Linked DNA regions of Canis lupus familiaris. Each later gene encodes a partner of the first gene's protein in a complex. Links are inferred from orthologs where the notes say so. Each region holds a gene or a part of one and is shown on either strand. Other genes may lie near its edges.

Evidence for each region. Proteins that work in one complex are often made in the same cells at the same time.
Region 2: TXNL4A (region 1) and SNRPG share a complex: the UniProt entries of both Homo sapiens proteins name them as parts of the U4/U6-U5 tri-snRNP complex. The link is inferred for Canis lupus familiaris from reciprocal best matches to the Homo sapiens genes TXNL4A and SNRPG.
Region 3: the proteins of TXNL4A (region 1) and PQBP1 are in contact, whole or in part, in a crystal structure (PDB 4BWQ), measured with the Homo sapiens proteins. The link is inferred for Canis lupus familiaris from reciprocal best matches to the Homo sapiens genes TXNL4A and PQBP1. Residues at the interface, in NP_006692.1 of Homo sapiens: Gly11, Trp12, Val14, Asp15, Ile18, Asp68, Phe69, Met72, Tyr73, Glu74, Met82, Phe84, Asn87, His89, Met91, Gly97, Asn98, Asn99, Asn100, Lys101, Leu129; in NP_001027553.1 of Homo sapiens: Gln241, Gln242, Arg243, Pro244, Tyr245, Pro246, Ser247, Pro248, Gly249, Val251, Leu252, Ala254, Asn255.

The regions. Positions count from the first base shown.
Region 1 is NC_049222.1:699,716-703,131, reverse strand, and holds the end of TXNL4A (thioredoxin-like protein 4A), read right to left. Parts: intron 930-3,416; coding exon 758-929; 3' UTR 511-757; downstream 1-510. UniProt on the Homo sapiens protein: Plays a role in pre-mRNA splicing as component of the U5 snRNP and U4/U6-U5 tri-snRNP complexes that are involved in spliceosome assembly, and as component of the precatalytic spliceosome (spliceosome B complex).
Region 2 is NC_049231.1:70,135,041-70,139,060, forward strand, and holds the start of SNRPG (small nuclear ribonucleoprotein G), read right to left. Parts: upstream 2,805-4,020; 5' UTR 2,753-2,804; coding exon 2,721-2,752; intron 1-2,720. UniProt on the Homo sapiens protein: Plays a role in pre-mRNA splicing as a core component of the spliceosomal U1, U2, U4 and U5 small nuclear ribonucleoproteins (snRNPs), the building blocks of the spliceosome.
Region 3 is NC_049260.1:42,260,223-42,264,393, reverse strand, and holds the start of PQBP1 (polyglutamine-binding protein 1), read right to left. Parts: upstream 2,805-4,171; 5' UTR 2,645-2,804; intron 2,379-2,644; 5' UTR 2,345-2,378; exon of another isoform or gene 2,341-2,344; intron 2,228-2,340; 5' UTR 2,210-2,227; coding exon 2,143-2,209; intron 650-2,142; coding exon 538-649; intron 271-537; coding exon 158-270; intron 1-157. Other genes in the region: TIMM17B (mitochondrial import inner membrane translocase subunit Tim17-B), read left to right, coding at 2,976-3,001, 3,871-3,970. UniProt on the Homo sapiens protein: Intrinsically disordered protein that acts as a scaffold, and which is involved in different processes, such as pre-mRNA splicing, transcription regulation, innate immunity and neuron development.

The DNA of each region.
Region 1 (3,416 bases):
ACCCCCCCTTTTTTTACAACATGCCCTTATTTGGAGATGGGTCATCACAAATGTAATCAGTTAAGATAAGGTCATGCTCCTGTGGGGTGGTCTTCTCCAGTGACCAGCGTCCTTAGAAGAGGAAATTTGGACACAGACACACATGCAGCGAGAAGGCCATGTGAAGGTTGTGAAGGGGCAAAGATTCAAGCCACAGGATGCCAAAGATCGGCAGAAATTAGCAGAATCTAGGAGAGGGGCAGGGAACAGATCCATCACAGCCCCAAGGAACCAGCCCTGACCTGACCACACCCGGACCCGAGGCTCTGGCCTTCAGATTGGCAAGGCAACTCATTTCCATTGTCACCCAGTCTGTGCCACTTTGTTCTGGCAGCCCTGGAGAACTCACATGGATTCCTACTGCCACATGGGTAAAACATGGTGAATTCTACTCCAGTGCTAAAGATGACGATTAGTCTCCAACTGCCCAAACCAGTTATCTGTACGGCAAGGTTCATAAGAAATAAGCAATTATGACTTTCCATCACTGTGTACTTTATTCGTGTCAGCTAGGTATTTACAAATATTTGCTAATATAAAAATACAATGGCCAGACAGGCAAAGAGTTGATGCCATGCAACCCTTACTACAAAGACCCTCCAAGTCCTTGAGCTTTGAATTCACTTCCAAACGCTTTCTCTAAGGCTTTAAATAGTTTCAAATATTTCCATGTGAAAACAATTCTGCACCACTTCTGTGCACGGAGACTGGGCTGAGCTCAGTATCTGTATTTCGTGGAGTAGTCCTTTGGAGACACAACCAGGCCGCGGCCCTTCCGGGCGCCCCGGTACACAGTCTCGATGATGTCTATCATTTCCTGTTTGTCTTCCATGGCCCAGTTGATCTTGTTGTTGTTACCAGTACCCAGGTCAATCATGATGTGCTTGTTCCTGCAAAGAGGACATGGGGGGGAGGGGTCAGTGCTCACAAAAATCCTTCTAAAAACAGTTCCATAAAAAAAAAAATGCCATTTCCTACCATCTCAGGCTCTTGTTAAACATCAGTGAAGACAAGAACACAGTCAAGAGGATCCACCATGATTTAGAAGATGGAAATAATGTAAACACTATCTTAACACAGCCATGCTTGGTGCAAGCTCCTTCTGTATACTCTGCGACTCCCTCAGGACCCATGTCCTCTGGGGAGCTGAAAGGTCAGAGGGCACAGTTCTAGTCACTTGGACAGTAATAGCATTTTCTGGGGCAGAGGGGTGGCGGAGTGGGGATTTACTTCAGAAACACATGATATATTTTTTTAAATTTTTATTTATTTATGATAGTCACACAGAGAGAGAGAGAGAGAGAGAGGCAGAGACACAGGCAGAGGCAGAAGCAGGCTCCATGCACCGGGAGCCCGACGTGGGATTCGATCCCGGGTCTCCAGGATCGCGCCCTGGGCCAAAGGCAGGCGCCAAACCGCTGCGCCACCCAGGGATCCCAACACATGAGATTTTCATGGCACTCTTGGGAGCTCTGGGCGTATACTTTACTAAAGGCCCCAGTGGCCTCAGAATTTTTAAAAAGCCCTTATTGTGAAATTAGTATATTTTGCATTCCTACAATCAGGGAAGTAGACGATATTTTACGAATTTGTTTTTTAAAAGGATACTTTAAAAAATGATCTTGTATGTGCACTTGACAAAGAGAGTAATCTTTTCTGTCCTTGGTGCACTGTTTTCCCCAGGTCTGCTGAACATTAATTTGTTTTCACTAATTTAACTTTTCACTTGAACAAGAATGAAGCGCTCTGTCCTGCAGTCTCTGCTTTGGACACCTTTCAACCAGAGCGAGCATCCAAAAAGGCAAATTTGATGCTTCTCTACTGCGAACACTCACTTGCAGGGTAACACTGCGCACCCGCACTCGGGCCCAGGGATCTGCTCCTTCTTACCACCAGTGTGCCAGCCATTCTGTGTCCCTACGGGACACCAAACACCTGACTGTTCATGCCCACACTAGCCCCTAGGAATGCATGTGCTCTTTCTAAACTTACTTAGTACTTGTGTCTCTATAAATACCTATCCTCTGGCCCTTCTGTGTCCTTTTGCTAGTCTACTCAGCTGTGGCCAACCCATGAAGCTCAGTGATGGCAGGAACCCTGCTGTATCTGACTTGATGTCCTGGTGGAGACCACAAAACCTGGCAAGACTCAATATATGCATTTGGTGAAAAAATCAACAGCAGTACTGATGTGCCTCATCTTAGAATTCTGGGTCACAGGAAGAGCAGAAGGAGGGTCCGTATTCTCTTCTGAGGCAGTGCTCTGGTTCGGCTGCCACAGGCAGCAGGAGGCTGGACCCAAGACAGCCTCATAAGTCGCACCTGATGGCCTGGGGAGAGTTTTGAGCAGCACGAGAAAAGGCCTAGGCTGCCATGAAGAGCTGTCAGTAGAAACACGATCTGAAGAGCGCGGGTGCCTAGGGCAGCAAGGAACACAAGGCTGGGATAGAGGAAGGGCCTCGATACTTGGTGGCTGGACATCAGTGACCCTGTCCTGTGGTTCTGGAGAAGCAGAAGTCACAAGGATGCACTTGGATGGTCAACGAAGGAACTATCAAGCCAAGTCCTGCAGGGGCTGCCTGGTTTCTCCCCACTGCGGACAGCAAAGCAAGGAACACGGGTGTAAGACCCACGAATGCCCCTCAGCAGATACCAGATCCAGGAATGACCTTCTGCGGAAGCCCCAGGAAGCTCTGTGGCCGGAATGCTCAGTCCCAATGAAGAACAGTGTGCCCCACCGTCTTTGCAGATGCCCGGGGCAGGGACTTGGGCTGCAGGGACGGACAGTGCAGGCAACAAACCCCAGGGGCTACGGCTGAAGCAGGGTGGGAAGCCGCCCCATGGCACATGCCTTTCCTAGAAGAGGCTGGGAAGCCCCGGCTGAACTGTCCCAGGGCCCCTGAGAAATCAGAGCTGCTTCCTCTGCTGCCCTACTGGGTGCTGCCCTACTGGGTGCTGGGGAGCCGAGGTCACGCAGGATGGGTGTCCAGGAGCCCAAGAGGCCTCAGTCTTACTGATTTTGCTTAGGGGAAGGATGTGCATCTGTGGACCCGGAGTGCACACTATGGCAGACAAAACCCTACACTCAACCCTGAGAAGTTCCTGCCCTCATCCCTGGGATGGTGATGTGATGAGATGCCAATGCTCAGCAACATTACAGACACATAGGGTTGGGCAGGTGACCCCGAAGGTTACAGATCCACTGACTTTAAAATAAGGGGATGATCCTGGATTATCTGGGTGAGATAATTGCCGGCATAGCAGAAGCAGAACAGGGTAGCGCAGAGACAGTGCAAGCCCCGAGATGGAAGGGGCTCAGGAACAGGGGGCCCCAGCACGCAGCCAGCGAGGACACAGCGGCTTCACACCCACAGCCAT
Region 2 (4,020 bases), on another chromosome or scaffold:
CTGGGATTGAGTCTCACAAAGGGCTCCCTGCTCAGTAGGGAGTCTGCTTCTCCCTCTACCCCTCTCCCTGCTCATGTTCTCTCAAATAAATAAACAAAAATCTTTAAAAAAAATTTGAGAGAGCACTTGCAAAAGTGGGGTAGGGGCAAAGAGAGAGACTATCAAGCAGACTCCTTGATGAGCGTGGAGACCCACAGGGGGCTCCATCTCACCACCCATGAGATCATGATCTGAGCTGACACCAAGAGTTGGACACCTAACCAACCGAGCCATTCAAGCACCCCTGAAATTTCATGCAATTTTAATGTATGAGAGAATTCAAAGGTAAGTTAAGACACAGGCCTGGGGCACCTGGGTGGCGCCTCCTTTGAGCACCTGAGTTTTGGCTTAGGTCATGATCTTGGGTTGTGAGATGGAGCCTCAAGTAGGGCTCCATGCTCAGTGCAGAGTCTGCTTGTCCCTCTCCCTCTGTTCCTCCCCTCACATGCTCTCTAATAAATGAAACCTTAAAAAAAAAACACCCCAAAATACGTTGTAGTATATATAAAATAATTTAATAGGATATATATAAAAGACAGCAAATAGAACACATATGAACTTATTTAGCCCTAAGTGAGATCTTGTTATTATCACTATTTTACAGATGAGGAACCAAGGGTCAGAAAGATTTTCTAAAGTCACATAGTAAGAAAGTTTGAGCAAATGCAAATGGTTCATTTTGGCTGTAGAATGGGATACTCCACACTAGTGTGTGTCATATTTGGCACCTTGCATTTCAGATGGAAGAGCCTGAACGCCGTGCCAACAAGTCTACACTTTACTGTTCAGATAGTCATAAATTATTAAAGCAGAGTCCAGTCATTGGCAATACCACCATGGCAGTGATTTTTAGGAAGTGGGATGGAGAATTTGGTTAGGTCTCAGTATCTCCACCCCGGCCTAGTAACATCTGGGGCCAGGTAACTCTGTTGAGTGATGTCCAGCGCGTTGTACAATGTTCAGCAGCATCTCTAGCTTCTACTCACTAGCGGCCTGCCAGTAGAAACAGGCTCCCTACCCCACAGTTAAGAACCACTGAATTAAGCTAAACCAGGAGGAGGGCATAAAAGAGTAGAAAATATCTGTGAAGAAATAAAAGAGAAAAAAAATTGAAGGTCATTTTGGAGGATGGTCTCAAAGTACATGAGATCGAGAGATGAGAGAAATTATTAAAACCAGTTTCATCCTGTGAAATTCTCAAATATCTGTTAAGAAACAAAAGCACCTGTTAAGAAATGAAAAAGGTAATCTAAGATTACAAGTAGAGGATGGTTCTTTTGCTAAAAATAATTAGCATCTCACCAGTTCGTGAAGAACCCAGAGAATACTTCTAAGGTTTTGCCAAGTCGTCAAGGAAAGAGAGTTTTAGACAGAACTCCAAAATAAGTTGTATTTTTCTTAACGTCGGGCTCACGATGAACACTTCAACAGACCCAGCTAAAATACACGGAGTTCTTGCACAAAAAATGGCTTTGATACAAATATGCATTTCAATGTAAAACTATTTTTTTTCTTTAAAAGATTTACTTGAGAGCGAGAACCAGAGAGAGAGAGAGAGTGCGCGTGCGAGCGAGCAGGCGAGCAGTGGGGAGGGGGCAGAGAAGGAGGAGACACACCAAGCCGACTCCACGCTGAGCCCAGAGCCCACCGGGGCTGATCTCACCAGCAGATCAGGATCTGGGCTGAAACCAAGAGTGGGACCCTTAACCGACTGACCACCAAGGCGCCCCTAAATGCACAATTTCCTGGGCAGCCCGGGGGTGGGGGGGGGTGGGGCTCAGCGGTTGTGCGGCTGCCTTTGGCTCAGGTCGTGACCCCAAGGTTCTGGGATCGAGTCCTGCGTCGGGCTCCCTGCATGGAGCCCGCTTCTCCCTCTGCCTGTGTCTCAAATAAATAATAAAAAAAATCTTAAAAAAAAAAAAAAAAAGCACAATTACTAAATACGGCTTTTTCTTGCAGTCTGACTCCTCCACGAGGCTGGCAGGACGTGACCCACGCACAGGGCGGACGGCTGTTTCACAAAGCGACCCCCGGGTCCCGTTCTCCTGTTCTGCGCTACCACGTGCAGAAATCCTGGGACTGCGCGGCGGACACGAGACGGAGGCACTCGGGAGGCCCTGCACACGCTCGGCCCAGCGTCCCCGAGCCCGGGCCCACGCAAGTAGGAACATCCGGTTTTGAGGGGATTTTTACTGGATGCAGGAAAAAAGAAAAAAACTTACTTTTCTTGGATTAAAAAAAAAGAAAAAAATGAACGTTCCCCCACAGCGCTGTTAACAGATCACGTGACATCCAAGTCTTAACTTCTGCACAAGATCAAAAAAAAATTTATTTTTTTTAAATTTTCATCTATTCATGAGAGACCCAGAGAGAGAGAGAGAGACAGAGAGACACAGAGAGAGAGAGAGAGGCGCAGAGACCCGGGCGGAGGGAGGAGCAGGCTCCACGCAGGGAGCCCGACGCGGGCCTCGAACCCGTGACCCCGGGTCACGCCCTGGGCCGCGGGCGGCGCTAACCCCGCTGGGCCCCCGGGCGCCCCGGAGGGAGATTCCGAGAACAGAGCTCAAGGAAACCGCCGCCCCGCCCCGTCCTCGCGCCCCGCGGAGCCGCTCTGCCGCCCCCCGAGCGGGGCCCCGGCGCACGGACGCCGCCACCCGCACGCGGCCCTCCCGCGTACTCACTTTTTCAGCTCGGGAGGGTGAGCCTTGCTCATGGCGCCGACTCGGCGAGCTCGCAGAGGCCTCCACACGGCTCCCTCACGCTCCCGCCGCTTGGCGCCTGACGTCACCGGCCCCCGCCGCCAATCAAACGCCGGCAGAGGTCACATTCCCTCCCGCGATACTTTGAGGGCGCCCCCGGACTTGCCGAACGCCCGCGAGTTTCCGGTTGCGTTGCCAGCGATTGGCCTGCATGGGGCTACATGGGGTGGGACTTCCGGTCGCCTCCTCAATTCCGTTTCCTGATTGGTGAAACTGACGTAAGGGCTGGGTCTCTAAGTCGTCGGCGCAGCTGGCGGATCCCTCGCTTTGCGACCTGCGCGGGTTAGCGTCCTCGCACGTGCCCAGTGCGCACGCGCTCGGGAGGGCTGGGCTCTGGTCCTGCCAAGGTCGATCAGCCTGCGGTGCCCCCGCATCGGGCGCTCTGCTCCTCCCTTCTGCCTGTGTCTCTCGTTAATAAATAAAATCTTAAAAAAAAAAAAAAAAAAAAAAAAGACTTAGGCCTCGGTGATTCTGAGTAGAGGATGATTCTCCAAAATTCAGTTCCTCCCTAATGTCCAGGAATGGCTCTATTTAAATACGAATAAAAGACTGAGCCTCATTCTAGCACTCAAAATCCTACAGGTGGCATTTGCCCAACTTCCCACCTCTCGCTGCTTACAAGCAGCTACGGTCCCGAAATGGATGGTTTAGCCTTCCCACGGTTATTTTTACATTAATGGACTCCGAGTCCCAGGGCCTTAGCTTGTCCTGTTTTCCCCCATTTACAATGAACCAGTCCCGCGTCTGAATCACAGCGAGTTTTTACTCTTCACGACGTCTTCAGACACTTATTTTACACATTACAAAGAGAAGCATCCTAAGAAAGTTGTAGATTCACTGCTCGCATACGAGAGACGCCGTAGTGGAGGAAAAAACTAAACCTTATTTATTTTTTAAAACTGAACCACTAGGAAAATAGATCACAGACTTGAGACACCCAACGCAGGCTATATCATCATTTCAAGTACTAAGTTGGTAAAAAGACAGTAAGGTCTTTATCAAAATGAAAAGGTGCTAGAGCTGGGGCAGGAACACGGCTTGCTGCAAAGGTCCTGGGGCAAGGGTGGCATTTGGTAATGGGGTGGGGGGTTGCCCCTCTTCTGCTTTAAAGGGATCACAGCCCACCCTTGAGTTGCCTACTTTTTCTCCTTTGACCTTCCTGTCACCAAGTGATTGTCTGAATAGGACTCTGTTATTTTGGGGGCAAAATAAGCAATACTGA
Region 3 (4,171 bases), on another chromosome or scaffold:
AGCAGCCTCTGCCGTCGACCACCTCCCTTGCCTGGGGGGGGGGGCCTTCCCATCTCCCCAGCCCCATGCCTGCTCCACTATCATGTACCTGACCCCTCTCTGAGGACTCCAGAAGCACTTGGGGCACCCTTATCTGCCCTTGGGTCTGCCAACTCACCTGCATTATTGCTCCTGAGTTTCTTGGCAGATTTGGTAACGACGGAGTTGGGGTCATGCGGGGAGAGCCAGGATACGAGGTCGGTGTCCACATTCCAGTAGTAAGGGAGCCCACTGTGGGGCAGTGGGATAGAAGTATGGACACAGGGAAGGAGGAAGGGGAGGGGTATCAACACAGACGTCCTCTCCTTGTAGCCTCCACTCCTGTCTCCCCAGTCTCTATCTATGCCTGCCCCATGTCAGAAGCCCAGAAGGAGGACCCCCAGACCTCTTTCCTGTGTTCCCCATTTACCCTAAAGCCAGGCAGGCCCAGAGCCAGCACAGGAAAGGTCAAGTCAGATGTCAGACTCTCCGCCCCCCGCCCCAGTTCCCCAGGCTCACCAGGATGGGTCAAACACTTTGTACCAGCTTGGTGGCAGGCCCTCCAACCGGGTGGCCTCATAGTCCACAGGGTCATCATCGTAGTCCTCAGCAATAATCTCTTCCTCTGGTTCTGGCAGGATAGCAGGGTGGAGGAAAGCAGTAAGGACCAGAGGAATTCTTATCCTGCAGTCAGAGCCTGGAGACACGCTCAGACTCACATGGACCATGTGTGTGCGTGTGCCAGGTCTCACCTTCTATGGCAAATATCACATTCCAAATCCAAGTGTCTGAAGATCAGGGGATTTGCCAAAAAACTTACCTAAATCTGTTCTGTTTCTGGGTTCAGATAAGATTTGAGATTTGATATCCTGTTACCGAAACCTATCTGGTTTCAGATTTTAGACAAGGATTCATCAAAACAAATGTATCCTCCAGTTCCTGAGTTCAGGAAGCATGTGACACCACGCTATCCCAATCTATTTGGATAAAATGAGTTTGAACAGTAAGCGGTTTATCTGAAAAACAAAATGCCCAAATCTATTCAGCTCCCAAGCTTGGTAAATATGGGGTTTCTGATTCTGTATATTGAGTAGCAAGTCTGGATGGGAAAGGATATATCCAAACACTGCTCCGCATCCATTCAGTTCCGAGGCCTGACATACAGCAGGCCTACAACAGCTGTCAGTTACTATCAGTAGAATAAAAGAGATGTATGTTGTCAGCTCGGTACATGACCCTCAGTAGACCTATGACAGATTTTGGCTGTGGACATAACTGACAATGAAATGTATATGTCAGCAACAGCATAGTGCCTGTCACACAATAGGCCCAAAGTGAGTATTAGCTATAATCATCAGAATTGTTAGTAAGAGATATATACCATCAGCACAGGGCCTGGTACTCAACAGGCTTAAAATTAGCAACGACTGTTACCAGTATTATTAACCACAAGATCTATATGCCTGGCACAGAGTAGCTTGTAACAGATGTCATTTATTAATAAGGTGAAAATAAGATGTAATCCAGTGCCTAGCACACTGCAGCCCAAAACAGATGCCAGTTTTTACCATGATCGATAATAAGGTGTAAATATTAGCAGGAACAGCACAGCAGGTAGAAATGATAGATCCTACCATCATTTTCTACCACTATGTGTATGCCAAGCACCTAGACCCAAAATACATGTCAGCAATTGATATGGTGATCAATAAGGTATAGATCACCAACATAGTGCCTGGCCTCACAACACGTCTAAAATAATGTGATCAGTAGCGTAAAGAACCCAGTATCCGCATCCCCCCTACCGTCTAGGGAAAATGTCAGCTCTCCTTACTGTCAGCTACTTTATAATAACTTCCACGGATCGTCTGATGGATTGCGCGTGGCATACAACAGACCCCAAAAAGGCATTAACTGTCAATATTAAGGATGAAACATGTATTCCCCACCCCCACCCCAGCCCGCGGTAGGAATGGATATCAGAAATCCACACCGTTAACAATACACGCCACGCCACTGACTGATGCGCGGTAGGCCCACGCTAGGTATCGAGTGGCGGTATCAACAACGAAGTGCCTGTCAAGCCAGGCACATTGTAGGCCCAACCGCTTTTAGCTCACTCACCGGGCTCCAGATGTTTGAGGATGCCTCTCTTGGCCAAGCGGGTCTGCAATGCAACAGGCAGCGGCATAGCGGATAACAGGCAGACCTAGGGACAGACGGATGAACAGACACGCTCACAAAAAACAACCCAGCTCAAGTGAGGATTCAAATCCCGACCTAAAACCGAGCGCCTCCTCCCGGCATATATCCCTCACTTACCCACCTGCACCAATGGCTGGGTAGACGGAACCTACAGGCTAAAAGATGGAATATAAGTGGCGATGACACCCAAACTCTCACCAACCCTCCCCTCGAGGCTGGGTGTTCCAAGACCCTGTTCCTCGCCCAGGCCCAGGCTCCGCCCACCGCCGAAGGGGCCAAGCTCAGTTCCCCCGCGCTCCCGGAATGAGCTCACCCAACGTCCCCCAAAGACTGCTGGGTGGGAGGAACCAAAGCGCTGGGACGGGGGAGCAAAATGAAGCACCTCTTCCGGCTGCAAAAAATGCGCCCACCCTGACATTACCAATGCAATCACGCGAGCAGTGGAAAGCTGACAGGTCGGCCACCTCTCTCTCGTCCCCGCTAGGATCACGAGAACCACACGACGGCCTTCTCCCAAAACACCAAAAGAGGTCCTCTCTCCCCGACGCTTGAGGTATCTGGGCGACGCACAGGCTGCAGTGGAGATGACGCAAACTCGGTGGCCAATGAGAGCGTGTCCCTGCCCTGATGAGCAGCAACACGACCCAATCGGTGGCCTGGAATAGGTGGACAGCTCGGCGCCTGTGTGCGTTTACAGTGGGGGCGTGGCCTGGCCGGGCTTTAGCCGGACTGCGCGGCCAGACGCCGGCGCCATGGAGGAGTACGCTCGGGAGCCTTGGTACGGCGATGGGCACAGGCCTCGGGACTGTTGCTGCGGCGCCACCGCCAGCTGTGGGAGGCGGGCGGGGGAGGCGCTGGCCACACCGCGCCACGTCCCAGACTCGGGAGACTCTTAGACGTTTGTGGTCTCCTTCCGCTCCCCTCCGCTTCGTTCCTCTCACTCGGGCTCCGTTAAGAGAGGCCGCAGCTGTGAGCCCGGAGAAGGTGCGGTGCAGGGACCAACCACTCAACGTTTCCTCAGACTCCGTATCCCCTCCCCCGTCCCTCTTTGTTGAGGAAAAGAGACACGCTGGTCGAATCCATTCCAGCTTGGGGGGTGGTGCGGGGTCGAGCGGAAATCCCCAGGGTTACCACGCGTGGCTTTTCCCAGGTCGCTTTAGTGGATGGGGGCGGGGCTGGGTGAACCTGTGGCGGACGGACTGGATCCTCCCCACGGCCTGCGCTTGGTTTTTCCCAGTTGTGATCGGTTAAAAGAGAGGGAAGACGGGATTTGGTTGGACGTGCTCATCGTCGGGGACGGAGGTGCGACCCCGTCCTGCTTTAATAACAGTACTAGCAAATTAACACTTTCACAGCGCTGACTTAAAGGTGCTGACTCTGCGTGTCTCATCAGTTCATTTAGTCTTTGATAGTGGTAAAGCAGTTGGCGAATTCCTTGCTTGGCCTCGAAGGAGGGGCGGGCGAGCAAAGACTAATGCTTTTCCCCTTTTGCACCATTTCTTGCTCAGACGAGGGGAGAAATAATCTCATTATTTGAAGTGCTGCTTCCCATTCGGGTGACTTGGTCTCTCCCAATTGGAAAGAATCCGTGCACCATGGCGGGGGAAGAGGGGCTCACTTAACCCACCCTCCCCTTTTGGCTTGCAGCCCATGGCGAATTGTGGACGATTGCGGTGGAGCCTTCACTATGGGTGTCATCGGCGGTGGAGTCTTCCAGGCCATCAAGGGCTTCCGCAATGCCCCTGTCGTGAGTCGTGGCCTTCCCTGGGTAGTGTGGGGGTCCTGCCATGCCCACATGGGATACTGCGATGAACACTGCGTGGAGCTGCCATAACTCGCTCATTACGGTGCGGCTAGCCTACTATGTGCCAGGCCTGACTCCAGGATCTGTGGTTTGGGGTGAACTGCAAACACGGCTCTCTGTCCCTCTCCCTGCACCACCCAGCTG